Struthio camelus: one gene and its partners. The protein of the gene in region 1 interacts with the protein of each later gene in a pairwise test. Links are inferred from orthologs where the notes say so. Each region holds a gene or a part of one and is shown in the gene's direction. Other genes may lie near its edges. The genes, in order: TNFAIP1, ZMYND19, POLR1C and ARMC7.

Region 1 (7,019 bases):
ATGTCACACTCCAGGTGTGCTTATAAAATTTTTCCAGTTGTTAATGTCAGTTTTTTGTAGCCCCTATGCTTTCATACCAGACAGGCAGGGAGATGTTAACTACCATGGAAAATATCTGCATGATGCTGACAGAAAATTATTGTTTATACTGTAAAAGTAGGAAGGAAGGGAGCTGGTTTTTCATGCATTGTACAGGGCAGGGTATGTTACAAGCCAGTAATTAATTGCGCAGTACCTTCATCTTCTCACTTTCAGCAGCTTTTGCTAGTTGATCAACAAGTTCAATTAAGCTACCCACTATTTTTTGAAATTCTACTACTTCTGCAAAGAAAAAAAAAAAGTCAAGTAATATCCATCAAAATAACACCAAATAAGACTAATATGTGTACTATAGGCTTTGAATTTCAGCCGTGACTTCTTAGTCCTTTCAGTTTACTGTAAATAGGTGCACTTTAAGATTTTCCTTCACAACAGGTAGGATATAAAAGGGGAACAAAAAAGAGAGAAGCCCATAAACGTTAACGGGATTCATCACCGTCCTTTACGCCACGGAGTCCGCTTCCTTAATTTTTTCGTCACTTCAAGGCATTTTTCCGATCCGTCTATTCAAGGAATGGTTATTCGAAGCTGCGGAGCCCCCGCACGGCCCCGCTAAGCGACACCTGCTAACAAACCGCTCCCGAGGGGCCGCGCGGGCTCTCGGGCGCGGCGCGGCGCCCCGGCGGAGCGGCACTTACTGTCCACGAAGGCGCCGCACTCCTCGCGGAGCTGCGCCGTCTGCTCGGCCACGCCGGGCTCCAGCACGCGAAGCTTGTTCAGCTCGTCGAAATGCAGCCCGGCTTGCCCCAGGGCGTCGCGGGCCATGCCGCCCCCGCTGCCGCTCCCAGGCGCGCTCCGCAGCAAGCCGGCACCGCAGCGAGCGCCTTCCCCGCCGGCGGCCCGTCCCGTCCCTCCCGCCGCCCCCGTCACCTGGCAGCGCCCCTCCGCACCGCGGCTGCCACGGCGACAGGGGGGACGGTACTGCAGTCGCGGGGCCCTACCCGGCACGCCGGGAGCTGTAGTCCCAGCCTCCCGCCGAGCCCGCGGCACGTCGGGAGCTGTAGTCCCGGCGGCGGGGAGCGTTTCCGGGTTGCCGGCGCGCGGAGGAAATGAGCTCAGCCGAGGGGCCGCGGGGGGGTGAGCGCTCGAGGCGGCGGGTCCGCGGGGGAGGGCACGGCGGAGCCGGGAGGCGCGGGGGGCGGCGGCGGCGGCGGCCGGAGGCCTGGCGCGGCGGGGCTGAGCCTGCGGGCGCGGGAGCGCGGCGCTGCCGGCCGAGCGGGGCTGAGGAAGAGTGCGGTCAGGTATCGTCCCAGCATCCCGGTGGGCGGTGAGAGACGGCTAGGGGAGAACTCCTGCTCACATGAGTATTTAGCTTCTAGGGTGACCTTGTTATTTGCCTTGCCAGATGTAAAACTGAGACCCCGAGAGGAAACATTCTGCCGCTGTGGTGCTGTCGCCCTTGCTGACCAAGGAATAGAGGCCAGGTGCGTGGACTCGAGTAATTCAGCACCCGGAAACTTTGTCTCTGGAAACGTTGCCCTCCATCTGTATGTGAAACTTCGGGGCACGCAGGAAACCTCCTTTTTCTCCGCTGTTCTGACACTGACGTGCTCATGCCACCTTCCTTTCTGACTCCACTAAACCTTCTCTATCCATAACCTTTCTTGTGCTGCTCAGCTCTGTGCAGACTTCAGCAAGGATCGGGGTCATGCTTCTGTCCCATCATGATGGGCTTGGCAGAGCCTGGGAGTGTCCAAAACTACTAAGACCATTTTGTCTAGTCCAGAAATTAGACAGAAAGTGTGCCACTTTAGAAGTGATTCTGTTCAAGTTTTTTTTTTCTCCTCTTGAGCTGTTAACGTTATTTCTTTTTATGGAAGTCCTCAACTGGGACCATTTCCTGATAGGGTGTCTGAACTGCCGTGTTATTGTTCTGCAGTTCTCCATCTGCTTCCCACAAAAGGCAGGAAGGAAAGGACGTAGAAAATTTTCTCTTGCGTTAATGGGTGTAATTAAAGGTCAAATTACTGTTTGCAGCAAAAGCCTCCTAGCTTGCTAGTTAATAAACATGTTACAGTAATAGTATTTGCTCCTACTTGGATAGGCTGGATAGAGAATTTTGCTATCCATTAGAAAGACATTAAAGAGCTCTGTTTGGGTCTGGAGTTATTTCTTTTGTTGCATGATCAATCTGGCTATCTTTAAAAACATGCTTTTGTTTTAAAGAGAGATCGCTATGGGCTAAAACAAGACAGGACATCTGTAACAAATTTGTAGAAATAGAGGTATAACTTAGGTCTACCAAAGGTCTTAACTGAAACAATAAGTATAGTTGCTTCTAGTCTTGATTTACTTATTTGTAAAAGATTATAGTAAACACCTATGTCTAGTAAGGAGGAATTGTGTTATGTGCAATGTGTTTGGAGAAGTTCTGGTCAATTTCTCCATAGCTTTTAGCTCTTCTGGGTAATAAACTTCTTATAGCACCATAATCGCATGCACAGTTTTTGTTTGTTGCTGGCTGCTTACCAGTTTGAAATTACTTTTCTAGCCTAGTTCATTTGTAACATGCAGTTGCCTTTGACTTATATTTGTCAATGGACGACTTGTCTAAAATGATGTGCTCAGAAAAAAAAATTGGCTTGTTCAGATGTAGAAGTAAATTTACTATTGTGTTCTAGGATGATTAGTTGAAAGTAAAGAGTGTTGACAGCTAGTGGGAGTTCCAGCATTTATAGACAAACTGATCTCTCTTGGCACTAAAATTGTTAACATTGGTTTGTGTCTTTGTGACCTGCAAAGTTTTTGTATTGTTTGTTGTTTAATAGATCTTTTTTGTAGTGCTTCCTTAATTAGAATAACATTATGTTAGATATCGTTCTAAGTTCAGTAGCTATTCAAATCTCTGGCAATTTTAAGATACCATCTGTAGCTGCTAAGTAATTTGCTGCACCAGATGGATGGAGAGATGTGGGTTTTTTCCATGCTGAAAGCTGAGGTGGGGTGAGAAGGAAGAGGGATGTGGGAAGAATAGCAATACAGTTAACAGGTTATTATATTTATTTATAAAAGGTCACTCATGTACCACGGGCACAGAACAGAGAAGCGAACAGACGCTTGTAGTCTGAAATAGATAAACAGACAAAAGCATAGTGAGAGGGGAAAAGCCAGCAAAATGTTTCTGAGGCCAACAGTTATTAAAAGAAGGCTAGCTGAGAAACCCGTACTTGTACTTTTCCAGTTAAAGAACCTGAGATCTGGCCTGTTAAACTGAGTTTTGTTCTCCTTTTGTTTGTTTGTTTGTTTCCATTCTAAGCTTCTCTTGGATGGAAAGATAAGTATAGTGAGACTGGGGAGAGGAAGGAAGTTGTGAATGTCTTAGCTGGCTTTTCCGTGAGGCAAATATTCCAAAGACTGGACGTATTTTTTAAATAGAAAAATTAGTATTATATTGACTGCTTGGCATTCCAGGACAGAGGAAAAAGAGTTTTGAATGAAGGATGTACCAGGAAATAGAGCATTATGGCCCAGCATTTTAGTGTCGAGGCACTTGAAAGAGAGGCAGCTGAAACCTCTGTAAATGTCTCCAGTTAAAAAAAAAATTCATATAAACCCCAGCTGGAGACATTGCAGAAAGCTCTTCCATTGTGTTTTAGATTTGCACAAGAAAAAGTTACATTATTTTGGGAAGTTGGGAGGGAGCCAAATTCTAACTATTATTTAAACTTGTACAGGATTGGATGGTGATTGTTATATTGACTGAGGACTAAACAAAAGGAAGTCCAGAAAAGTTTTACTTGCCTCGCTAACAGTAATGCAGCCATAACTTAACAGTATGGTGCTGAACAATCATTATATTGCTGTGTAAGTTGTTTGAAAAACACTTACGTCTTGTTTTGTCAGAATTTGTGCAGATGTGTCCTTAAGAATCTACTGAATACATTTCTTCTTTAATGTGGGTTTCCTGTTTTTGTTTTAAATGGTAATTCCAGGCTTCTGTATTGATCTTTATACGTTTCTGTTTCAAGGGTCCAGTGGGTTACGACTGTTTTTGCCTTGCACTCCTCATCTCGTGACTTGTGACTCTTCACCAATCACGGCGGAATCCATCAAGCCCACGCTCTGCAGGGTTGTCATCTATCTACAGAAGGAGATGTCAGGGGACACATGTCTAACCACCCTTTGTCCAGCTGCAGGATCCAAGCCCAAAACTAGCAACTTCAAAGGGGGCAACCTTGGTAACAAATATGTGCGACTAAATGTTGGGGGTTCCTTATATTATACTACGGTTCAAGTACTGACCAGGCATGACACAATGTTGAAGGCTATGTTCAGTGGCAGAATGGAAGTGCTCACAGACAAGGAAGGTAAGGGGAATGTCTTTTGATGTGGAGAATTTTGTAAAACAATAGTTTTTGTAGACTATGCTGAGTGAAGGGTATAAGGAAAAACGTATTCGGAAAGTAATTTGGAACATTAGGCACCCAGCTCCCATTGGCTCTAGCAAGCCTCCGTGCCTTATGAAAATGTGCTCTTTTGTTACTAAAATTAACTAGAGGAGGGACTAGTTCTCTTTGCTACAATCCCAGCTGGTACACAGATTGCTGACGTTATCAAGACTGAACATACGGCACATGGGTTGTCATTTATTGGGTGATATATAGTGGTGTCAATCAAAACTGGGGGTGGGGGGACATTCAGTTTTCATCTTTCAAACTCAACAGCCTTGCTTGCTATGTTGAGGATTCTGGGTTTTTTTCCCCTCCTAATAGTATGTTCCACTTGTTGCTGACAATACATATCCATGTTGTGACAGTATTTAGTCACCAGTCAAGTATTATGTCGCCTCATGCTGGACATTGATTCCTGGCATTATAAAAATAAAAATCCATAATAAATTATAGAGAACAGAACAAGTAAGAAGACTGATGTCAGCAATGCCTATGAATGCTTCTGTTTTCCTCTCTTTACTATCCCATAGCAAAATGATACCTTAGGAATGAGGCTTGTAGCACTGTGGAGAAGAGATTGAGAGAGGATGGCAAGTATTTAACCTCTTGGTGTTTCAGAATATTCATCTGTGAAAGCTCTTCCACATGCTGAGACTGCATCAATTTAAACTTGATGCATAACAGTGTTTTTACTTAAACTGACACAACTTCTTTGTGTGCATATCACTTAAACCAAATTCCTCTTGAGTACGCTGGTTTGTATATGACTAAATCAGTTTAGCCCAGCAATTTTGTGTAAGAGCCTTAGCCTGAAGAGAGGACAGGGTTAGTGTTCTGACAGCCACAGCTGGAGAATCTAGTAGTGGTTTAGTCTACTTTTCTTATAATGTCCTCTGCACCTGGGTCCCCAAATACCATTTTTTTCCTGCCTTCCACATTATGGAAGAGAGTTTGTCACTGTACTAAGTCCTCTGCTTGCGTGTGTCCTGCATTGCTATTGTTTGCCAGCAAGTCAGACATCCTGTTTCCTAGTCAATGTGCCCTCAGGGATGTTTTAGAATCAGAAAAACGTTCATCTACTACTCCTTCCTGTGCTGCTTCCACTTTCCACTCTCTCCTGATCTGTCTGTGTTCTTTACTCGTATTCGGAGACCGGAACAGTGTTTTTCCCACACTGTGTTTTCTGGGCTATTCTATGTTTTGGCATCCCTGGAATACTTTTCTTTTTGTTAACTCTGAACAACAGTAGAAGATGGTTGGGAGGCTGACAAATTTTTCTAGGTAGGCCACAGAACTTAGCCCCAATTCACTTGTTGCAAATATTTGCAAATTCCTTCTTATACTTTTCCCTTAGCTTTCTTAGTAATAGATTTCTAAGTTTCAAGTGCCCAGCATTACACTGCAGCAGCACTTGATACATTTATTCCCATACAAACACAGCAAAACCCTATTTTGCTGGGAATATGGCAAGCCTCTAAATGAAACAAGCAGCTTGCCTAACAATAAGCTTTTTTTTAAGGTTTGAATTGCTCGGTCAGTCAGTCAAATAGAACTCTAAAAATGCAAACTGGTGATTTCTTATAGTAGTTAAGAAGATCCATTCCTAATAAATAAAGGATCAAACACAGAAAATGATTTTAGTCAGGCAGCACATGGACTGATCAGTAGATACAGTGCAGCCAGGTTCCTGCAGGGATTTTAATGTCTCTTGAGAGAAAGCTGGGTATTTTTAGTTTTTTTTTCTAACTGTGTTTTTCTTTTGGGGTGCTGAAAAGTAGATTTCCAAAGAATAGAAAAGAAGCAGAAAAGAGTAGAGAAGTCTTCCAAAAGTACATTTCCAAAGAGGAAAGTAGATCGCCAGAAGAGCAATTCCCCTGTCATTTTCTGTTCTGTAACCAACTTCAATTTGCTCAAAGTCAGTAAAGACTTTCACTGAATGAAATGGGAAACAGATCATACGCAGTTTCAGGGAAGTTTCAGTAGGCTTCTTATCAGCTTATGAAACTTGAATGCAGTTTCCATGTTTAACCTCTCTGAAAAGCTGTTGTTTGCCTCCCACTGTTGAGGTGATTGAAATGTTGTGATGGTTACTTTTCAGGCTGGATCCTTATAGACCGTTGTGGGAAGCACTTTGGAACAATTTTAAACTATCTCCGAGATGACACAATTGCGCTTCCAAAACACAGACAGGAGATCAAAGAGTTGATGGCAGAAGCCAAATATTATCTTATTCAGGGCTTAGTAGACATGTGCCAAGCAGCCCTGCAGGTAAGAAATAGAAGTAGCCTGTAGTTATTGGCAGGCGTTTTGCTTATAAATATGACTTAGGATGACTTCAAAGAGTGTTTCATGGTCTTAGATGTACATCAAGTCTTAGGCGCACAAGGTAGCCTGGAAAGAAAATGAGACAGCAGTGAGATAAGTTGTTAAGATCTTATCAAGTACATTTATCAAAGCCGTGGTTTTCCTTGCTGTATGTGGACACTCGAGATTCTGTGATGCTTTGTGTAAGAGAGATTTAGTTTATGC
Region 2 (6,941 bases), on another chromosome or scaffold:
AGACAAGGGAAAGGAGGGTCACGTCCAGCATTGCCCAGCGGGTGGGAGCTGCTGGCAGGGTGCTCACGCGAGGGCAGGACCCGTCGCTCCTTGCTGAGCCTGCGAGCGGCACACCGGGGTACGAACCGCTCGCAGTGGAGCGTCCTCACAGCTCTGCTGCTTCCAAACGGGGCAAATCGCTGCTTTTGGCACCGTGGGGCCGTTCTGGGGGAGATGGACACCTCGCGTACCTGGCAGAAGGGTCTCTCCTGCTCGGCTCTGGGCTGCAGCGGTGTCCTCACGGCACCAGGTGCTGGGCGAGAGGTCGGCAGCAGGCCCGGGGCTGTCACCATCAACGCGGGGGGACGGCTGGCTCCACGCAGGGGCTCGGCGGTCTGGAGGAAGGGCACAGAGCAGCGATACGGGGCAGGCGCGGGGCCCCTGGCCCTGCCAGACCCCCGCCGGTGTCTTGGTGTCGCAGGCCGCTCTGCAGCATGGGGGCTTGTCTTCTTCTGAGCAGCTTTTGGCTAACGTGGTTTGGGAGCAGAGCCCAGCTTCCCCTCAGCTCCCAATACCAGAAACGTGCCTTTGCCAGCCAGGTGCCCTAAAGCAGCAGCTGCTTGTGACGGTGCCGACCGCTCTGTCTCACCCATGAGCCAGAGACAATCGCGAGGACACTGCAGCCGCTCGACCCGCAGCGTCAGGTTTTGTGTCTGTCCCTGAGAACGGGGGGTTGACCCAAGCCCGCCTCCAGCAGAAGACCCCGGTGCTGGGGGAAGATGCCCTGATCTCCACGTGGCAGGCGAGGTGGTCTCCATCCATCGCCTGCTGCCGCCCACACTGCCCGCGACCTCAGGGACGTCGTGCCCTTCTGCCACGTCCCCCAAGGGCAGGGGACTGCGCGACGGGCATGGGAGGTGCAGAGGGTGCCAGAAGGGGAAGGAAAGTCGCGATGGCAAAGTGAGCTTTCGCCGGCCTACGAGAAAGGAGGAGGCTGCTGGCCGGCAGGAGCCCCAGCCGGGAATCAGGTGGCAGGGTGCCCGGGGTGCTGGCCGGGCTCGTGCACCCATGACTCACCTCCGCTGCGGGCCTCCACGCAGAGGAGCAGGCAGTGCCTCTTGCTCAGCTGCTTCACACGATCCAGGCAGACGCGGCAGGTCGAAGCCTCGGGCTCCGGCCGCAGCCGCGGGCAGAGCACAACCGTCACGGGCAGCAGGTTCCTATCGGAGGGCGAGGGACAGCTTGGGCGACGTCAAAGGCAACTGCCCCGGGCTGGGCTGCGTCGCCCCCAGGTGAACGGGACCAGGGGAACGGCACGGCCGCGCTGCGGATGGCAGCACCCGGCTCTGGCGGCGGGTTGGGAGCTCCCTCGCACCGGGAGTGGGAAGTGAGATGTGGAGTTGGGCAAGGCGGCTGCTCCCTGGTCCGTGCTCTTTGTCGCCTGATGCACAGGCGGTTTTGGGTTTCCAGGAGTCGGGCGTTGCTGGAAAGCATCCCCCCTCGCATCCCCACGCACAGCCCAAAATTACCAGCGGTGCTGGAAAAGCTGGCAGAAGAACGGTGGCTTCCAGTGCTGGTAGCCGTTCATGTAGTAGCTGGCCATGTGCTTGGTTACTTTCTGGCGGTAGTCCATTGCGGCCCCGCTCCGCGGCACGTGCCGGCCGCCGGTGGGAGCCCCTCGCCTGGGGCGACCTCACGGCACCGCTTTGTGACGGCCGGCGCGTTCCAGGGCTCCCGGCGCCGGCCGCCCTCGGCGAGGCACCCAGGCTTCAGGTACCGTCAGCATCTCGGGGCTGCAGTCCATTGACCACCCCAAAGCAAATGCAAACACCTGTCACCGGCAGGTATTTGCCGCCAGCGTTAGTCTGATTTTCTCTCTAGCCTGGACAATCTCTTCTTCTCCCCGTCCCTTCCCAGCTGGGAACGACCCGATTCTTATTTGGCGTGTTTCTAGGGCCAAGCAAAAGAGCAGGTGCCATGGGGAAGCGAAGCCCTTCACATCCCGAGCAAAGTCCCCCCGCACCGAACAACTTGTTCCTGGCATCAGCAGTATCATACACTCTTCTTTGCTGTTTTTCTCTTTTAAAAAGCAGGCCACAATCATCAAAAGCCACAGTCATCAAAAATGAAGCAATGCCCTTGATAAACCTGGGTGTATATTAATGGATTTATTGCACGTTTCCAGCTACTTTGCCTTTCTCGGAGGTTTGATTTATCTTTCTCCCTCAAGGACTCTTGCAAGAGCAAGGCATTCTTTTCACTGCATAGATACTCTGCTCCCGATTCAACTATTTGCTTGACTTTCTCATTAGCCAAAAAGACTTTTGCTTAGCAGCTTACGAAGGTTTCCTTATCCGACTAGCTGCCCTGACGAACGCGGTCAGGTTCGTGCCCCAACTGCACGGAGCAGCACCTGCAGAATTAGGCATTTCCTGGATCCCACGGGGTCTGCTGGCTGCTGAAGGGCTGCTCCAAACCGCGGTGTCTAATTTCCCTGGTCCGGCATGAGAGCCTGAAGCAGCTGGGGTTTATGTCTCCTCCATGGGATTGCTCCGTCGCAGAAATGAAAGTTTTTAAGGAAAGTTTTCCAAGCTTCTTCTTTAGATTTTAAATATTTTAACGTCTGTCTCCTTTAGATGCTCCTTTCACCGTTTTAAACACATCTTTTCCCTGCTGCTCACGTTCTTCGGGGCACAGTTGTCCTATTCTGCCCTAGTGATTTCCCAGGTAATTGGGCAAGGACAGCGATCCGTCCTCCTTGGCTGCTTTATCCATTTATATGCAATTTGAAGCCCCTCTTCGACCGTGACATCTTCCAAACGTTCCTGCAGGCTGCCGAAAACGCCCACACGTCAATCAAGGAAACAAGGTGGTTTCCAGTGCTCTTAGCTGTGACTGCAGAGTCTTGGGCAGCGGACGCTCTGCAAATCCGTTCCCCTGACTTTTGTGAAACGAGGAGCGAGCTCTTCGCCCTCATCTAGACGTTCGTCACGACTAGACCTGGAAACGAGCCCCACCACCCCGCACCCGCCAGCACGGCGCGTCGTTTTGGCGGACGGAGCCACCGATCAAACCCTGCGGCAGCACAAGGCGTCTGAGAACATCCTCGCCGAAGCTGTACGTTTGCAGCAAGGCAGATCATCCGGCTCTTTCCCCAGCCCGGGCAGGACCGGCCCCGCGTCCCGCCTGCAGGGCGCAGCTTATTAATTACAGCACATCCCAACACAGAGTGAATCTCTTTTATAACGCAGCAGGGTCCGCATCCAGCTCCCGGGACACGGGCGCCCGGCCCTGCTCCACCTTCTCCGGCAGGTCTCAGCCGAGCAGGGCCGCCCAGCCGCCGCCTCCGAAGGCCCAGAAGCGGCCGGCGCAGCCCACCGCCACCTCAGGCCACCAGCCGGGGTGACCTTCGCCACCACGGAGGGGCTCCCCAGCCGGCCCTGCCCTTCCCGGGCGCCAGCGCCTTCCTCGTAGCCGCGTGGCCACGGGAAGCACCGAACGCTTCCAAGCCCAACACGGGCAGAGCCACCGGACGGTCCCAGCAACGCGCCTCGGCCCGGCCCGGCCCGGCCCGGCCCGGCCCGGCCCGGCCCGGCGCCCCAGACCCTCCCCCGGCCGGGCGGGGCCCTCCCGCCCGAGCGGCCCCTTTAAGCCCAGCCCCCACCGCTCGCGCTCTCCCCGTGTTGGCGGCACAAAGCTTCCCGCGAACGTGACGTCAGCGCCCGCGCCTCCCTCCCCCGCCCCCTCGGGGCCGAGCCCGCGCGCGAGCCCGCGCGCGCCGCGCCGGGCCGCGCGCCCGCCCCCACGTGACCCCGCGCGCGCGCCGCCCGGCGATTGGGTGCGCCGGCGGCGTAGTAGGGGCGACGCGCCAGGGGCGCGGGTTGCCATTGGCCGGGCGGCGGCGGGTGGGAGGTGGTGCGCTGCCCCGCCCCCTCCCCCCCTCCCCAGCCCGGGTGTGCGCGAGGCGGCGGCGCGTGGCAGCGGCGGCGGCGGCTCCGCTCCCGCTCGCGGGCTCCGAGGGGCGAGCGCAGGCGGCGCCCGGCCCGGCCCGGCCATGACCGACTTCAAGCTGGGGATCGTGCGGCTCGGCCGGGTGGCCGGCAAGGTGAGCGCGCGGCGGCCGGGGCCTGAGGGCGCGGGGGGCGCGGCCGGGCGCTGCGGGCCGCGCCGGGCGGAGCGGCTGCCCGCGGGGCGGCGGCGGGGGCGCGGGCGGCTCCCCTCTTCTCCCCACACCCCCCGGCCGCGCTGTGCCCGCCGAGCCCGGCCCCGGGGCGGGAGGCGCGGGCAGCGGCGGCCGGTGTCGCGCTGCCCGGCGGGCGCCGGTGCCGCCGCCGCCGCCGCGGGGGCCCCGCTGGGCTGACGGCGGCCGCTGCGCTCTGTGTTTCAGACCAAGTACACGCTGATCGACGAGCAGGACATCCCGCTGGTGGAGAGCTACTCCTTCGAGGTGAGGCGGAGAGGCCCCCGGTCCCCCCTCCCCGGTGCCCGCCTCCTGCCCCATGACTTTCTCTCCCTCCGTTCCCGGCCCCCCCTTTCCCCTCCCCCATCGTATGCTGTCTTAGGGCTTGGTTTTAGGGGCTGTTTCTTTTTTTTTTTTCTTATTTTTCTTTCTTTTTTTTCTCTCTAAATCGCGATACCGGCTCCCTTTTTTCAGTGCGTGCGATCAGACTATCAGCAAGGCCTCTGCTTTCTCCCCCGTTAGCTTGTGGGGGTGGCGATACCCCTTTGCTCTGTCCCTTGGGTCCAGCAGCTCCTCCGAGGTCTCCGCTGCGAGAGCGGTTCGCGGTATTCCTGGGGGTGGAAGTAGTTGCAATGTGTCAGTGAGTTTTTTTTTTCCTGTTTTGACATGCCTAAATAAAACTGCTTGTGGAATCACGCTGGCGAGCAATAACTTTCCTACTTTGGGGGAAAAAAATAAGTTTGAAAATATTGAAACAACAGTGTGAACGCTTTCAAATGGGAAGTGTTCCGTTCCTTCATTTGTAAACAAGCATTAAAACAAATTAATTTGTTATATAGCTTTTGTTTTCAGCCTTCTGCTTGTATATATTTTTTGAAAACTTTCACAATCTGTCTCCCCTTATTTGGTTTGTAAAACTTTAAAAACACTTCACTTTGCACATAGTCTTGCACTGGCAAAACATCTCTTAGTTAGCTTAATATGGAACGAAAAAACTTTTCTCTTAAGATATGCTTCAAGAGGGTAAGCTGATTCTGCCTTACAGACTTACAAAGAGAAAGAATTCTTCATTGCAAAATCTTCTATAACTAACACGTTTTTGGAGTGGGGACCGTTTTTTTGCGTAGCACCTAGCACAGTGGGTGCTGCAGAGTTACTGTTAGGTGTCTAAGTGCTGTGGTGATGCTCCAATCAAGAAAGACCGTATTTGCTCTTTCCTCCTCTGTAGTAATTCATTTGTGTGGTAGAGGAGGGAAATGAAGCTGGACATGCAAGGACTTGGTCTCATTTCACAGGGGGTTCAGAACACTCAAAAATCCACGCTGCCCCTGAAAGGAGGGGACTCGCTCTTCCCCCATCTGTGTTTCTGCTACGCTACTGCTTGTGTGACTCCACAGGGGTTGGATCAGAGAAAAACATCTGGCTGAAAACTATATATATATTTTAAGGGGAGGTGGAGAGTATGCTAGCTTGCACGGTGAACTGTACCAGGGAACAGCAAGAGCGTTAGTGCCTGCACAAGGTTATGGAGCTGAGTGGAGAAAAGAGGGCAGGACCACTCCTTTCACTAGCAACCCCTAATTAGATTGGTGTAAAGCAATACTGGAAACAAAGCCTTGGTGACTTGCTGATGGCTGTACATAAAATCTATGCCAGAGCAGAGAATGGATCCTGGCCCTACAGGCTAACAACTGGATTGTTGTTGTTCTTTGTCCAAGTGGAACTCCTGCTGTGCAAAGCCTTCTTTCTTCCTTTTGCCTTGCATCTTCATAAGCTACAATAGCAGAGCTGTTTTCTCTCTGTTGGAGGTTTCAGACAAGTGAAATTCCATTAAGATCAAGTGACCTATATCTTATATGGTGGGTTTCCTACGTCTGTAGGAGCCAAATAGTAAATGTTGGTCTTTTGTATATCCCAAAAGGCATGTGCTCTGCCACTCTGTGTTGGGCGCCCTCAGTCACAGTCTTCCCTTTTCTCTAGGCTCGGATGGAGGTAGATGCTGATGGAAATGGTGCTAAAATATTTGCTTATGCATTTGACAAAAATCGTGGAAGGGGGTCTGGCCGCCTGCTACATGAGCTACTTTGGTAGGTAACTTCAAGGGTTCACTAAGGTGCAATTTGCTGCCTGCAACTTGTATGTTGTTTATTTCTCTGCTTGTAGTATTTTGAGTCTTCTCAGGAGGCTTGCAGCTATACTCATCTGGGAACCCAGCACAGTGGGTGCCATTAGATCTTATTATAGTTTTGTTTTGCACTGGTCATTTAAACAGTTGAGTCTCTGTAAAAATGTTATTCCCAGGGAAAACAGTGATAGGTGAGTATAATTTGTGCGGACACTGTTGAAATCTGAGAATTGCTACCAAAACTTGTGTGCCCGGGGGTGTTCCATCTAAATTAATGGATGAAGACTAACCTTTTGTGTTCCGTTTGTCCTGTGATAAGCACATAACTTACTGGCACCAGTGAGAATTGGCAGAGCACTGGAGAGATAGAACCTCTAACTTAAAACTTTGGAGGTTTTTGTTCAGCCTTCTGGAAAGCTACATGAAACAGCGCTGAAGGTACTTTGTCTCAGCTGCTACTTCCTATTTTCTGTATTCTAAGAATCATTGCTTGATATCCTTTGTAGCTCCCAGTTAACATTCAGAGGTTGACTTAATCAGTAGTAAGAGGTAAGTATTCCTGACTAATCTAATGAGCTGTTAGTCTGCTCCTTTTAGATATGTTCTTCATGATGAGACCTGAGTTTAATTTTGTAGAAAATATGGTGTGTGCTGGAA
Region 3 (7,040 bases), on another chromosome or scaffold:
CTCTTCCCCCAGATCTAACAGGCACTCCCTTCCTATCTCCCCTTCTTACCTTCTACTACCTTGTGATAAGCAAAGTGCAGGTAGAGGAGGAAAAGCATATGCAGAGCAGCAAGGGTCCCACACAAGATGAGCCGCTGAGTATGCCCCACGGTACGTGACACTAGCACAGCAACCTAGGAGAGAGGTGGAGATTACAGACAAGGTAGCTGCTACCTCAGCCTTTGGCGTTGCAGTCAGATGCACATAGGCAGATGGGCCAAGTGGTAAGAGCCAACAGAAACTACTCAGAGACTCTTTGGCAGTTTACACCACCAAATTCAAAGTAAACTGACTGTTTCATGTAGGTGAAGCTTGTCCAGCCTTGCCAAGAGTTCAGGATGCTCAGGCAGGACTCTGCACCACAGTAGGGGCTGTAAGGGAGCAGACCTCCTGCAGCCATTAGAATGCGTGAGGACATTAAGCCGAGTGTCACTTCCAGACACCAGCGGCCAAGCAACCCAGAAGTGTCAGGCTGTTGTTCTTAGCAGCCTTACTGGCTTTGATATGAACTGCCTGCCCCAAGAAACAGAAAGCAAATGACATTCTCCTCTTTTTTTTTTTTTTTTTGGTCCCCAAAGCAGGAGGGCTCCCAGCTGCCTGTCCCTTACCATTCGTAGTGTCGAGAGTCCACCAACACCCAGCCAGAAGATATAGAAGAGGGAGTGGAAGTGGATATTATAGGTAACAAAGAGGGTGATGCAGTGTCCAAAGAGGCCATAGCCCTGACAAAACAAAAATACACGTGTTATGAATGACAGTCCCACGTGAAGGGCTACTGGTCAAAACCATGAGTAGGCTACTCCTGCAGCGTTTCATGGAGGCAAAGCTTCACTAATCACTCACTCAACACCCAAGAGTCAATCAGCACACCAAACGTAAAAGCCAGTGTGCTGTGGGAGCAGCTCACATCCAGCTTCTCTGCCTGAAGGAGTCACAGGGATGATAGAAATCACAGCAACTTGGGAAACAGAGAAAAAATCAGCCTCTGTTTCCAGAGAAATTGGAATCTCCTGCTTTTTACCACCATGCTCTCAGATCAGGAAGTCCAAAGCAGATCTGCATGAAGCAACAGCCACTTTGTGCTGTCCTCGTACCTGGGATGGGGCAAGTCAGAAGAACAACTTGGAATTCCAGCCTATCCCCATGCAATAGGACTGCAGTCACCTGGGACCATTAATTGATAAGGAGACTTCCACGTCTCAGGGAAGACCCCCCCACACCACCCTTCTGCTGAAGCACCATGCAGCCAACCTGCATCTTAGCCCCATCCATACATACCAACAGTGACAGCATCTGCACCATCGTGATTTGGGCATTGCACAGATATGCCAGGAAATAGATGAAAGAGGAGACGCCCAACCAGTAACCGAAGCAGGTGCCAATGGCTGTGCCCATCAGTGTGCCTTCCCTCTGCAGAGACAGTGTCAGGGTGAGGAGAGCGCAAAGAACTGACCTGTCAGGACCCAAATTCCACCTCAGAGAGTTCCCAGAGCCTTTGCTAGGCATGACTGAATAGCCAGCCAGCAGCGTCCAGGATGCCACATGGCCTACTGCCCAGCCCTTCCAGCAACACAGCATCAAGATTTTCTGATGCTTGCTTCCTTCCTCCTACCCCCAAATTAACTCTTCCTCAAATCAGTCTGCTTTTCAGCAAGGTGCTGTTCAGTCACGGGAGAGGCTTCCTCTCCCTCTCTAGCCTCATTATGGCAATTCAGATCCCAGTGCAAACCCCAACCTATCGCTGAGACTCGCCGTACAATGATGGTGTCCGAAGTCTTCATCCCATGCAAGAGGATGGCCACCAGCGTGAAAACCAGCATGAGGGGCCCATAGAGCTCGCCTGCAATCTTCTACAGGAGGAGACAGACCAGGGAAGGCTTGGTTAGTGCTCCTGAAGGCCAGACTCCCCACCCCAAGCCATGTGAGAAGTGCCTTGGATGAATTTTGTCACTTAGCCACCTACTGATCTGAGAAGTAACAGTAAGGCCGCTGCTGACAGGAGCCAGGAAAAATAGGTCATGTGATTAAGAGTCAAAGTGGTGTTAAACAGGATGCCAAAACACGATAAGTGAAGTCTGGAGATCTAGAACTGTACCAGCATTAAGGGTAGCAGAAAGGGGTTTAGAAGCATCCTGGGAAAGAGCTTACCAGCATTTTCAGGCAGATGAACAACTAGCAAACTCAGGCCCTTACTAACACGGGCTAATCAAAATCTCCAAGGTGTCTGTGGGACATTCTCTTGAGCCATGGAGTTTGATTCAGCAAAAGGGAACTCACCTGTGGGAAATTAATCATCTTGACGGGAACCATGGACTCTAGCAGTCTGCATCACAGAAAAAACACAGAACGACATCAAAAGCAGGAAAAACAACCAGGTTAACGAGATGCCTCAGCAGTAAAAGATCCCATACCCCAGTCACCAGTATTTTCCTGTTGTGCCTCACAGGCCTTGGTAGACACAGATTCCTTCTGAAGAGTCACAAAAGGTAGCTAAAGAAAACAATCTTATTATCCACAGGCTAACTTTGCCAGGGGGATTTAATGAAAACATACACAGATCCATTCAGGGATGAGGGGACTGCTGCCAGAACAGCAATCCCTAATTTTCTGAGCCACTGAACTCCTTGACCTGAGGCTGGATGAAAAAACATATGTTGATGATATAAAGCCTTCTCCTTCATGACAGCGGGCTAGCCGAGCCTCCTCATGAGTTAGTCCTGGATAAAATCATGCTGTAAAAATATGTACAAACTGTACCCTAGTGCTGGCTCCTTAGGCCTTGGAAGGTTTTAGAAAAGTAATTCTTGCCTCATTCTCTCCAGTCAGGTAAGCTGCTCCCTGAGAAGACACAGAACTGCCTTTCTGAACACAACTGTGTTGCAGGTCCAACAGAAACCACGTGACGGGGCTGGGCAATAAAACGCTAAAGATGCCTCAAAGCCCTTGTTTCAGTCAGAGAAGCTCTGCTGGGCCACAAGTGACATAGCGGCCAGCCCGCCTAGGGAACCTCTTTAAGGACAAGGGGACAAAGCCTAGCGTGTTACCCTGCATCTGGGCACTGCGCAGGGCTGGCAGCCCCACCCGGAGTTGCTTGCCTTGGGGGCAGCCGCTCCCTGGTGAGGAGTCGCTGGTCCCCCCTGAATCCCCCGGGCACTCGCGGCGGAGGCGACGGCCGGGCCACGGCCTTGCCCACCTGGTGCGCACTTGGACAGGCTCCACGTCGAAGTAGGGCCGGAGGATGTCGATGTTGGCGTAGAGGCTGAAGGCCTTCGAGGCCTGCCTCTTCCCCACCTGCCACATCTGCGGAGAGAAGGCAGCGTGCAGCAGCCGGGCCGGGCCCCCGAGGCCGGGGGCGGCCGCGGGCCGGGCGGGGAGCCACGCTCACCTGGTCAGCGACCTGCCGGCCGAGCTGCCCCCGCAGCCCCTTCATGCCCAGGAACTCCCCGTCCTCCTCCTCGGCGGCCGCCGCCTCGCCCTCCGCCTCCTCCTCCTCCTCCTTCATGCGCTGGTGCATCTCCCCCATGTCCTCGAAGCTGGAGCCCGACGTGTCGTCCATGTTCTCCATGTCGATCACGGCGGAGCCGCCGCCCTGCGCGGGGGGCAGAGGCGTCAGTGCCCGCCCGGGCCCCGCTCGGCCTCGGCCTCGCCCCCCGCCCGGCCCGGCCCGGCCCGGCCCGGCCCCACCTGCATGTTGTCCTCGAAGCCGCCCCACTCCGCCGCGCCGCTCCTGCCGCCGCCCGGCGCCGCCGCCCCCGGCGCGGACATCGTGGCCGGGGCCGCCCCGCGCCGCGCTCGCTGCTGGCGGCTCCGCGGGCCCAGCGGGGCTCGCAGGACCCGGATGTGACAGGCTTTCCCCCCTCCCCCCCCAGCACCGGCGGACGTGGAGGCTCCGCCCGCGCTCTCGCGAGATCGCGCTCTCGCCGGCCGGCCGGCAGTGCCGCCATCTTGGGAGTGGCAGAGGAAAGTGGAAGGGGGCAGCAGAGAGGAGCTGAGTAGACGGTGAGGGAGCCTCGCAGAGCATACGGGGGCGTGGGCTGCGCTGTCGCAGCGCCCCCAGGCCGGCCTGCGGCGAGGGAGGGTTGAACGCCCCGCGGCTGAGGCGCCACACCTAGGCGGAGCCAAGTCCTCCCGCCCGGCCGCCGGGGGTGGGGCGGCCCGTCACGTGGCAGAGGGAGTCTAACCCCTCCCTCCCCAGTCCGTCCGGCCGCGCACGCGCTCTGGTAGCGGCGGCGGCGGCAATGGCGGCCAAGCGGGGCACGGAGGAGATGCGGGAGCGCGTGGTGCTGGGCGAGTTCGGGGTCCGCAACGTGAGTTGGGGCGGCGCGGGGCTGCCGGGTGCCCGCCTCGCTCCCGGCGCCGCCGCCGCCCTCACGGGCTCTCTGCCTATCTCCCTCTTCGCAGGTCCACACCACGGACTTCCCCGGCAATTACCCCGGCTACGACGATGCCTGGGATCAGCTGCGCTTCGAGGAGGTGGGCGCTGCCGGCAGGCCGGGGCGGCCGTTGGGCGGCCGTTGGGACGGGGCGGGCTCCGCGGCGGCCGTTGGGGAGGGGGCGCGCGGGGCGGGGAGGGGAGGAACGTTACAGGCTCCGGGCGGTGCGGGCGCGCGCGCGGCGGCGGTTGGTGGAGGCGGGCCCGTGGGGTGACGCGGCGCGTGGCCCGTGCAGGGGTTCCGCGTGGACGTGGTCCGCGAGGAGGACGACGCGCTGGAGTTCGACATGGTGGGCATCGACGCGGCCATCGCCAACGCCTTCCGCCGCATCCTGCTGGCTGAGGTACCGCCGCGGGGAGGGCAAGGCTTGGCGGTGCTCCCCGGCCGGGTTCCCCCCCCCCCCCCAACTCGGGTGGGCCTCGGGGCTGTTAGCATCTTCGTACCACCGGTGGCCCTTGTGGCCCGCCGGTGGGAGCCTGCTGCAGCATCAGTGTTTCTGCAGCAGGGCATGGGGGACAGGGCCCTGCACAGAGCTGCCTGGAAGCAGGCCCTAGCTGCAGAGCAGTCTGTGCGATGGGAGAGGGCGTGTATGTGTATGTCCTGTGGTATCTCAGTCCATCTATACGTATTTTAGAAGAGAAGCAAAAATCCGTTCTGTATGTCAAGGACCTAGAGAGAGTTAGAGCCTTAGTGGCATGAGCAATAGCAATTGTAACCCTTAAGGATGCTGAGGTAGGTTGGTAGGTTGTTGTGGATGTTGGTAGGTTCTGTGGATTGGTCTGCCCTTTACCTCTCTTACTTTTTTTTTTTTTTTTTTTTTAATAAAAGAAGTAAGCTACCGGGATAGAGGGAGAACTCATTCATGTTTGTATTGGGTAGCGCAATTTGATAGAAACACCAGTGAGAAGAGTGTGCGAGCAATTATTTATGGGAGAGAAGAAGTAGTGAAAATAAGCACGTTTTAGTTAGACACTGTTTTGGTGTGTAGTTGGACCGTCACCTTATACTGACTTGATGCGTCCTCTTCTCCTTGAGGTGCCAACGATGGCTGTAGAGAAAGTCTTTGTGTACAACAACACGTCCATCGTGCAGGATGAGATTCTGGCTCATCGCTTGGGACTTATCCCTATCCGAGCTGACCCTCGACTCTTTGAGTACAGAAACCAAGGTGAGAGTCCTGAGTCTCCCTTCAATCAAACCGAAATACTGAAGGTTGCCCCCAAAGTAGGAAACCTGGGATCAGGTAAACTGAGCAGAAGCGTGATTCTGTAGACGCTCGTGCTATTCTCCCCTTTCCAGGAGATGAAGAAGGGACAGAAATTGATACGTTGCAGTTCCAGCTGAAAATAAAATGCAGCCGAAACTCTCAGGCAGCCAGGGAGTCCTCTGACCCCAATGAACTGTACTTCAATCACAAAGGTAAGGTCTTTCCGTGTCCTAAAAACAGATGCTGCTTTTTTTCTTGGGAGACAGGAATTGGTCCATTCTCTCAGTCCTGTGAACAGAGAGAGCTGATTCCCTTATTCTGCTAAACTTTTTACCAGCTCCAGTCCTGTAGCAGTCTGCTTTCTGAGGCAGCAGCTGGCTGATGCTTGTGGCTCCTCTTCACAGTGTACAGTAAACACATGACATGGGTGCCTTTGGGAAATCAGACAGACCTCTTCCCAGATGCTGACTTCCGACCTGTTCATGATGACATCCTTATCGCACAGTTACGACCTGGCCAGGAAATAGATGTGCTTATGCACTGTGTCAAGGGTATAGGTAAGTCACTGGTCCTGAGGGTAGGGGGAGAAGGTGTGGGAGTGCTCGGACTATAGGGCATGGACGGATGTGTGGAGGGGAGAGGTGGAAGGCTGGCTTGCCTCTTTGAACTTTAGGCCCTAGCATCATTACCCTCTTGTTCTGTGAGACCTCTCCTCACCCTTATCTCTTTGTGCAGGTAAAGATCATGCCAAGTTTTCTCCTGTGGCCACAGCTAGTTATCGACTGCTTCCGGACATTACTCTCCTGCAGCCTATTGAGAATGAGGCGGCTGAGTTGTTGCAGAAGTGCTTTTCCCCTGGAGTCATTGAGATCCAGACCATCAAGGGTACTTTATTCACTGCTCTAACGTGTCATGTCCTTATGAGTCTTAGCAAAGAGTTATTGCAGACTAGAGCCAAACCTTGTGGAGACGAAACCACATTGTGATGTTGTCTTGCTGATCAGCAACTGTTTGTGCTGTTCTCAGCCTGGTTTTATGGATGAGTGGCTGTTGCACGCGTATGTGTTTGCTGGTGAACTGAGATCTCCCTGAAATGCTAAGGTATTGTGTGTCTGTCTGTAGAGCCCTGTGGCTGCTTACTGCAGCTTCCAAATACTGCTCAACTGTGTGTCAGACTGGGTAGTGAGCTTGGTCTTTCCAGCAGTTGAATGTGGGGATGACGTGTATCCTGCCCAGGGGTATGTATAAGCTTTGTGTTTAGATTGGAACTGCTCATTTCTATCAGGTTAGAATTTTGTGTTGGAGGTGTGCTAATTCTTTATACTTTGTGGCTTCACTGCCTTTGCTGGTGGGCGAGTGCT
Region 4 (7,814 bases), on another chromosome or scaffold:
TACAAATAGCAACTCTCAAATTTTATATTCTGTTCACCCGTTCACATACCCTTTACACTTCCTTCCAGATATTGGGGGGGGAGGGGGGGCACATTGCCCCACATCTGCCCTTTCCTACAACTGTCCTGAGCACAACAAGCAAGATATGGCTTGAATTGCAACCCATCACAACGTATCGCGGAAGAATAAAGCTTCGTGGAAGAAGCACTAGAACGCACCCCCCATCCGGAGCCAACGGCTGCGTCTGCAGGGCTGACCCGTTGCTGCAGATCAGTTCCTCCTATACCACGGCAACAGCATCGCCGGTTTGACTGTTTCTCAGCTGGCACAATAGTGCCAAGTAACTTAGGAGGGAAAGTGAGGCGAGCGCTTTCTAGAACAGGTTTTTGATACCCCCAGACTCAGAGCCAGGGTCTCTGGGACTTATGTTCATAGGCAGAGAGATGTTTCTGGGAGGAGAAACACCTAGTTTACAAATCCGCAGTTTTCACTTTTTTCCCCTCTGGCGGCCTAAAAAACGTCTAGCAGCCTTCCAGAACGTAAGCTGACTGAAACCAGGGTTGTCTCCCCTAGCTACTTTTCAGGGACCGTTTAGAAGTAATCCACATACCATGGCTTGAACACAACTCTCGGAGACGTAACAGGTACCGTTTCAGGCGGTGTTTCCACAGGTAAATAAGGCGACTGAACAGCTTGCTGCTGCCAAAAGGGGGAAAGCTACCTCCCTGCTCTCCTGGGCTACAGCTCTCCTCTCCTACCTCTGTCTTTAGCCTGAATTGCAAGCCGCCTCGAGCAGCAGCTTTGAAGGGGCCGTGCATACTGAGCGTGCTACGGTATAATAAGCATTCCCTCTCAGAGCTATAGCACAGAAATATTAACACCCCATGCTTAAGAATCATGAGGCCCACAGGAAACAAAAAGGAATAAAAGTTCCTTGCCATAGTTTAAGGTACTCCCATTATGCAAGGCAACCACACCTTAATTACTGCCACCCCCCTAAAGCAGTTTTCCCCAACACTTACAGACAGTAAAATAATATGGGCTTTTGCTAGGGACAAACACCAAAACCTCAGCCAGGTTAGAAACCTCTGAGAACGGGCAGAGCAAGAAGAATAGCCCAGAAATAAACATCCCTCTCCCAGTCCCCACCGACCCCTCCCTGCTGCCTTTGCTCATAAAAGCAGTCTCCTTCACTTTACAAGCTAAGCATTTTTGCAACAGGCACCTTTCCTTATCGCAAGGAAACGTTCACCAGCAAGTTCACGCTGAAATAGTTCAAGACTGGGATCTTTATACATCTCAGATACTTAGCCAGCATCAGTCTTAGGGAAGCGTGATGAAAACAAGGAAGAGTCCTGGTCAGCTTACGCACTGCAATGCGCCTCAGAGCACAAAACTGCTTAGCTGAAGAGCTTGTCACACTGCTGGAAGACTTTGCTAGTAATGGCTAAATAACTGCTAGAAATGAAAACTTACTGTGTTCTAGCTTTGTCATGCCATCAGGTGGGAGCTGCCGTCCCTGGAAAGAAGGGCCCGGGAGGCTGCGAACACCTCACTTTCATTAGTTCATTCACTGCTAAGTCTCCCGGCAAACAGCAGGGGCTGGAAGCATTCAGACCATTTAGCGTTATAGCCGATAGTGCCTGAGCAAACAGCCAGAGGAAGAGCATTACACACTCACCTCAGCCCCTTCTGCCAGCTGCCAAGTGATCTTTTCGGAGCATCCGGACAAACTCTCGGCAGCGAAGCAGCACCAAGACAACAAGCACGCAGCCCATAACGAAGCACGCCACCTTAACAGTACTAGCGTGCTCTGCAACCCGGCAGTAACGCCTACAGAAAAGCTCTGAGGACTGCAAAGCCAGGCAACTTGATCCAACTCTCCTCCAGGAGGCAGCTCCACCACATCAACTTAAATGCAGCCTGTTCCGCCCAGCTCTTAATCAGCTGTGATTAAACTCAAAGAGAGACAAAGGCTCCAGGGAGCAGAGCTAGTCATTCTCAGAAAGACAGCCAGAGGTGCGCCTCTGCTCCCGATGACGTCTTGCCACACACCAAAGAGCGTGCCCTGGAGAGTACCTTTTTCAGGGATGCCTCACCTGAAAACTCAGCCAGCATAGACAAAAGCCTGCTCTAAACACTACTCTCTCTCTGAAACCACGCTGGGCGACCGAGGTCCTCCTGCTTCTAGGCGTGCAAAATCGAACTGACTGACCACATCCACAGGGCTGGTGAATATAAGGCATTTCATCCTTCCTCTGGAAAAACTCCATTTTGCACTCCCCCCCCCCCAGTCAATCCCAGAGTCCTCAAGCCCTTGTCTTTACGCTAGCTAGTTCCCCTCTACTTGCTTTCTCTTCTCCTCCTGCTTGCCCACAGCAGTCATTCGCCTCGTATGTAATGACACGTGTGGCTTTAAAGGATGGCAACACTGAGGCACTTGCAAAAGCCTCCGCTAGAAAAGATTGGCTATGACATGAGCAAACCACGCTAGCCTAGCAATAGGTTGTAGTACTGAACGCTTGCCTGAGCATTTGCAGACATGCATAGACATACACACACGCTCCAACTGACACCGCGTAGAACAGCTGAAGTTGCCAGCACAGGACAGGCCTAAACATTCACATCAGGTAGAAATACCGTCGCTGGGCCGGGGGGGGGGGGGCAGCCGCACCTCGCCGAGGGCAGCAGACAGGGCCGGGGCACCGAGCAGAATGGGAGTGATGAGGGGCAGCGAGAGGAGAAGGTGCTGGGGGGGGGCAGGTGCGTGTGGCACAGCATGCTGCAGGTTTTATCACACAGTGGCCCAAAAACATTTGGCTGCAAAATAATTCTTAACTCAGGAAGCCATAGACAGTCTTTTCCCACATCACGCTTTTTCTGAATACCAATAAGCATACAGAAAAGGAGTGAGGTCCCTGCTGTTGTAAAACTTCATGGTTCTCCAGCCCTTCTACACTTTGCAACAGCTGCTCGCTGTTGCGCCTTTCAGTAGCACGTGTTAGAGCTCCTAAAAGCTTGTCCAGCCCACAGAGAAGCGGTCAAAAAGCTTACCCTAGGCCATGGTCCCCTCTGGAGGACACTTAGCCCCTTGTTTACAGAGCTCCGGTGTTTCGTGCGCTGATAGATCATCTCAATGCATTCATCTATGCTTATTAGGTTAAGCTGAAAACCAATCAAGGAACAAATGTTAAAAGATCTATGCATTTAACCGAGGGGAGGAAGTCTCTCTTGGGACACTCAGTCAAGAAACAGGGAACTAGGTGCAGAGGAAAAGAATTACCGCCTCCGCCAACCCTGCACGCTTGGCACGAGCAGTGACGTTGGAGAGCTGGGAACTCAGCTGTCTGTTCAGAAACCAACATGCTTTATTCATTGTCTACAAGATGGGGAGTTTGTCCCTTTGAACCTTCAGTCACCTGACGCTCTCCACAATTCAAAGTGCGCTTATACCAACTGATGGTATCTGTTTGAGGTCAAGGAAATATCTGGAGAGGAAAAGTCCCCGTTTGTGACTTCTGTTCCAAACCAACACGTGCTTCCGTTCGGAAAGCACAGCTCCGCGTTTCCCCAGACTGGGAGCGGCGACACAGACGCGCAGGGAGCTTGTGAAGAACGTTGTCTCAACACATTGCATTGCAAGAGGGATCAGCATGTGCTCCGCACCTGCCTGGCACGCGGGCCGCCCGGGATCGGCCCAGGAGCCACCCGCAGCAGCACCCATCGTGCCCCTCTGCCCCGGATCCTGCCTCGCGCCACTTCTCACGCCCCACTTCTGCCATCGCACCCCCAGCCCCATGGCACCCTGCAGCCACGTCTCAACTCCCGCTGCTTATTACCATAAGGCAATGAACCGAGACCTTTATCTCCTCCTGCTCTTCTCCCTGCTGCAGCAGTCGGCCCCGTGTTCTTGCCCGCCTGTATTCCCCGTATGGCCCGTGGTGGACACACGTCCCCGGGGGATGCTGAGATGGAGTCGGAAGCGGATCGCTCTAACTGGTTCATCATTTGCTGCGCTCGCTTGCCAAGAAGCCGGTCGGCATCGTCACGGCCTGGGGGAACGGTCCAGCGTTTAACACTCAACAGCACTTATTACAGCTAACTGTGGAGAACCTGGAAGGACACGGAAACGAGCAGGGCGGAAAACCGTAAGTCTGGGAGCAGACAGCGAGCAGCTGAGGGAAGCGCGGGTCCCTTCCAGGACGCAGAAAGGAGCTTCCAAGACTGAGCGTCGCGGGCGGGAGGGCCGGGGCCGGGGCCGAGCGGCGGCTCGTCGCCGGTCTGGCTGCCATGGAGGACGGTCCCCTCGGGCTGCCGCCCGGAGCCCAGGGCAGGAGCCGCTCCCGCCACCCCGCCGTCGGGCCGGGCCGGGCCGGGCCGAGCCGAGCCGAGCGGCAGCCGCCGCCGCCGCCGAGGGCGCGATCCCCGCCAGAGCGGCTGCCCCCCGCCGCCGCCGCAGCCGCCGCTCGGCCCCGGGCACCGCTCCCGCCGCCGCCGCCGCCGCCGGAGGGCGCCAACGGCCGCCGGGGGGGCGCCAACGGCCGCCGCGCCTCGCGCCCGAGCTCGCCGCCGCCGCCGCCGCCGGGGCGCGCGCAGGGGCGGGGGGGAGGCGGGGCGCGTCGCTTCCTGTCGCCGCCGCCGCCCGCTCCCTCCCGTCGCCCCTCCCGGTCAGGCGGCGAAGCAGCGCGGCTCGGCGCAACCCGGCCCAGCCCGCGGCCCCCTCCGGCCCCTCTGTCCCTGCAGTGGCGCCAGGCAGAGGCGACCCCTTCGCCCCGCCCGGGGAGCGGCGCGGCGCGGCGCGGCGGCCATGTTGCGGCGGGCCGGGGCTGCGGGCGGCCGGTTGCGCTGAGGCGCGGGCGCCGCCGCCGCCGCTCTCCCCGCGCTGAGGGCTCCCGGCGGCGGCGGCCGCCCGGGCGGCATGGAGCTGGGCCGGCTGGAGTACCTGCAGGCCCTGGTCACCGAGTTCCAGGCCACCGACAGCCCAGGTGACGCCCCGGCGGCAGCGGGCGGCGGACAGCTCGCTCGGGACCGCCGAGCGCCGCCGCTCCGCCTTCACCTGCCGCTTCTCCCCCCTTGCAGACGCCAAGGAGCAGGTGCTGGCCAACCTGGCCAACTTCGCCTACGACCCCCACAACTACGAGCACCTCCGGCAGCTGCAGGTGCTGGATCTGTTCCTTGACGCGCTGGCCGAGGACAGCGAGAGCCTGGTGGAGTTCGCGATCGGTAAGGACGGCGGCGGGGCCAGGGCTGCCGGCTCGGCCCGGCCCGGCCCGGCCCCTCGGAAGCTCAAGCAACATGTGGCTGCTTGTGCTGCTTGGGGTGCTGCAAGGGACCGGGCTGCAGCCCTAAAGCCTTGTTTAGAGGGGAGCGAACGGCAGCTTCCCCCCCCCCCCACCACCCCACCCCGAAGTTCAGTATAGTTGCAGCACTTAAAAAAAAGATTGTTTTCTGTAAAGCAGGTTTTTTTATGCTAGAAGAAAACACTGGCTGAATGACTTCTTACCCAAATCTCTCCTATACGGAGACGGTCACTGAGAGGGAATTTGTGCCCTGCGTAAGGCACAGATGCAGTGTTTCCACCCTAGTGCTGACAGCCAGTCTGCCAGAACGCTTGTCGGGAGTAATCCGGCGAGCCCTCCGAGGAGTCCCTGACACCGAGTCATCGTGCCCTGCATACAGGGAACGGGGCCGGATCCTCACTGGGAGTGACTCCGTGAGACGTTAAATACGCTCTGTTTTTAAGGTTTGTTGACTGAGCTACACCAGGATATGCCTGCACCTTAAAGTCTCAAGTACTAATATTGTAGGCCTCTCGACTAATATTAGTCTCTCTGTTCTCTGGTTTTGTAAAACATCTGCCATATACTGCTGGATTGTAGCCACGTCTAGGGTCAAGTGATAAAGGTATTTTTCATTCTGTGGAAGACGTTATGTCCAGAGGCACAGTGCCCTCTAATGACATACTGGAGAAGGAGTGTTCTAGTGGAAAATCTCCAGGAAGAATCAAGAAAACTTAGCGCAGGAGCACTTAGCACTTTTCCATCCAGATCTCACAGCCAATCTGGCTGCTTATTTCCGTACTGGAAAACGGGGATCAGCAAAATTGGCATCACTGCGCAATTGCATTTAGGTAAATAATTTCCATTACGACACTGAGTTAGAAAAAAGAGGTTATTTAAGATGATTAAAATCCCATTTTGTAATTCTCAACATCTTTAAGATTTAGCACGTTTACCTCTTATTGCTCAGGAGAAATATTTTTCTGTGTCAGTTTATAAAAAGAAGGAAAGATGAAGTTGGCACAATTGTTTAAACAAAAATAAGGAGAGGAAACGTGAAATGTGTACCAAGTTATGTGCATTACAGAGATTTAATTGTGGTAGTTTCAACTGTAAGAAAGAGTAAAGGTTCCTAGTTGTAGCAGTGGACTTAAATCTTCGAAAAAGGTGAGGGAGTAGAGAAGAGCGTCTTGCGTGCATCAGAACGTTCTCTTCTGCTGTGTTTCAGGTGGTCTTTGTAACCTCTGTCTGGATAAAACTAACAAAGACTACATCTTGGAGGCGAATGGGGTAGAGCCCATAATAAACTGCCTGTCCAGCTCCAATGAGGAGACAGTGATGTCGGCAGTCACAACGCTGATGTACCTGACAACGCCGCAGTCGCGCCAGCAGACCACAGCTCTCCCAGTGGTGGAGTGCATGCTTCGCTTCTCTCTCTCGGCCAGCAGAAGGCTAAGCAATCTGGCAACTGTCTTCCTTGAGGATTACTGCACACCTCTCCAAGTGGAAGAGGCCAGGAATCTAAGCAAACACACAGCAGTGGGGATTCCTCTCCCTAAGGACTGAAACTGCCCAGAGCAGCTTGGCGCTCTTACGAGGGAGGTTTCCCTCTTAACATCCCAGCCTTCCAATTTCTGCTCAGCAGGTCAAGAGTGTGCCGAGAGCAACTTTAAACAGGGAAGATGGTCAGACCAGCGCTGGATTTTAGTATTAATACAAAGGAAGGCACAGTGCTACAATGTGAATCAGTCTAGACATGAAACTTAAAAAAATAAAATAAAAAAATAAAACAGGTCATGGCTGTTGGAGAGCGGGCTGCCAAGTGCAGGCCAGCACCCAGCTTGCGCAAATAACCCTTCCCAGCAATTAGCCTTTTCTGCGCAGGTTATTGGGCAGCTTACATCCCCTTTGGTTCCTCACTATACAGAACAGATCATAACTGTGCTACATAACAGGAAGTGGAAAGTTCTATTTCTTTCATTGTCACTGGTGAAAAAGGTGAAGATTTAAAAAAAAAAAATAAGGCTCATGGCAGTCTGGCTCACAAGAACAGCTGTCTTGTAAAACCTACTCTTAATAAAACATTAGCTTAAATGCTGTGTAAACAGTTTTGTATAAGAACATAAATGTTTTTCTGCAGCGCTTGCAACCCAGCCTTCACCTACACTCATTAATGCACGTGGGCCAGAAACTGAAGCCAGCTTGGTCTCCTTTCATTATCAGCCAATGACGCAAAAAGCAACCCAAAAGCCAGGGTGACTAAATACATAAAATTTAAAACGTTTGGCTGTTGGACGCCGTGCTCCCTAAGCAGACACGCTGTGTCTGCTCAAGTTTCACAGCCTTAGTACTTTTTTTTCCCTCCTTTCTGCCCTCCCCCATATGCCCATTCAGCTCAAGATGTGGGAGTGAGCTTAAAAAACACCAAAACAATGTCTTTGGCAGTTTCTACTCATCTACACCAATCAAACACCAGTAACAACTCTACAGAGATTAACTAGTTTAATACAGAGCAACTTTCTAGAAACCTGGAGA

What was found.
Region 2: the proteins of TNFAIP1 (region 1) and ZMYND19 interact in binary tests that used the Homo sapiens proteins (3 or more experiments, as listed by UniProt). The two-hybrid records come from large-scale screens. The link is inferred for Struthio camelus from reciprocal best matches to the Homo sapiens genes TNFAIP1 and ZMYND19.
Region 3: the proteins of TNFAIP1 (region 1) and POLR1C interact in binary tests that used the Homo sapiens proteins (3 or more experiments, as listed by UniProt). The link is inferred for Struthio camelus from reciprocal best matches to the Homo sapiens genes TNFAIP1 and POLR1C.
Region 4: the proteins of TNFAIP1 (region 1) and ARMC7 interact in binary tests that used the Homo sapiens proteins (3 or more experiments, as listed by UniProt). The link is inferred for Struthio camelus from reciprocal best matches to the Homo sapiens genes TNFAIP1 and ARMC7.

What each region holds. Positions count from the first base shown.
Region 1 is NC_090957.1:21,433,473-21,440,491, forward strand, and holds the start of TNFAIP1 (BTB/POZ domain-containing adapter for CUL3-mediated RhoA degradation protein 2), read left to right. Parts: upstream 1-4,018; coding exon 4,019-4,406; exon of another isoform or gene 4,407-6,588; coding exon 6,589-6,758; exon of another isoform or gene 6,759-6,881; intron 6,882-7,019. Other genes in the region: IFT20 (intraflagellar transport protein 20 homolog), read right to left, coding at 236-321, 738-864. UniProt on the Homo sapiens protein: Substrate-specific adapter of a BCR (BTB-CUL3-RBX1) E3 ubiquitin-protein ligase complex involved in regulation of cytoskeleton structure.
Region 2 is NC_090961.1:12,062,815-12,069,755, reverse strand, and holds the start of ZMYND19 (zinc finger MYND domain-containing protein 19), read left to right. Parts: upstream 1-3,925; 5' UTR 3,926-4,033; coding exon 4,034-4,084; intron 4,085-4,366; coding exon 4,367-4,426; intron 4,427-6,139; coding exon 6,140-6,246; intron 6,247-6,941. UniProt on the Homo sapiens protein: May be involved as a regulatory molecule in GPR24/MCH-R1 signaling.
Region 3 is NC_090944.1:103,663,129-103,670,168, forward strand, and holds the start of POLR1C (DNA-directed RNA polymerases I and III subunit RPAC1), read left to right. Parts: upstream 1-4,029; 5' UTR 4,030-4,277; coding exon 4,278-4,346; intron 4,347-4,440; coding exon 4,441-4,512; intron 4,513-4,707; coding exon 4,708-4,815; intron 4,816-5,507; coding exon 5,508-5,640; intron 5,641-5,771; coding exon 5,772-5,891; intron 5,892-6,083; coding exon 6,084-6,236; intron 6,237-6,414; coding exon 6,415-6,564; intron 6,565-7,040. Other genes in the region: protein YIPF3, read right to left, coding at 50-173, 648-761, 1,318-1,449, 1,797-1,889, 2,317-2,362, 3,233-3,339, 3,425-3,628, 3,724-3,804. UniProt on the Homo sapiens protein: DNA-dependent RNA polymerase catalyzes the transcription of DNA into RNA using the four ribonucleoside triphosphates as substrates.
Region 4 is NC_090960.1:8,164,446-8,172,259, forward strand, and holds ARMC7 (armadillo repeat-containing protein 7), read left to right. Parts: upstream 1-4,796; 5' UTR 4,797-4,918; coding exon 4,919-4,985; intron 4,986-5,079; coding exon 5,080-5,223; intron 5,224-6,507; coding exon 6,508-6,845; 3' UTR 6,846-7,373; downstream 7,374-7,814. UniProt on the Homo sapiens protein: As a component of the minor spliceosome, involved in the splicing of U12-type introns in pre-mRNAs.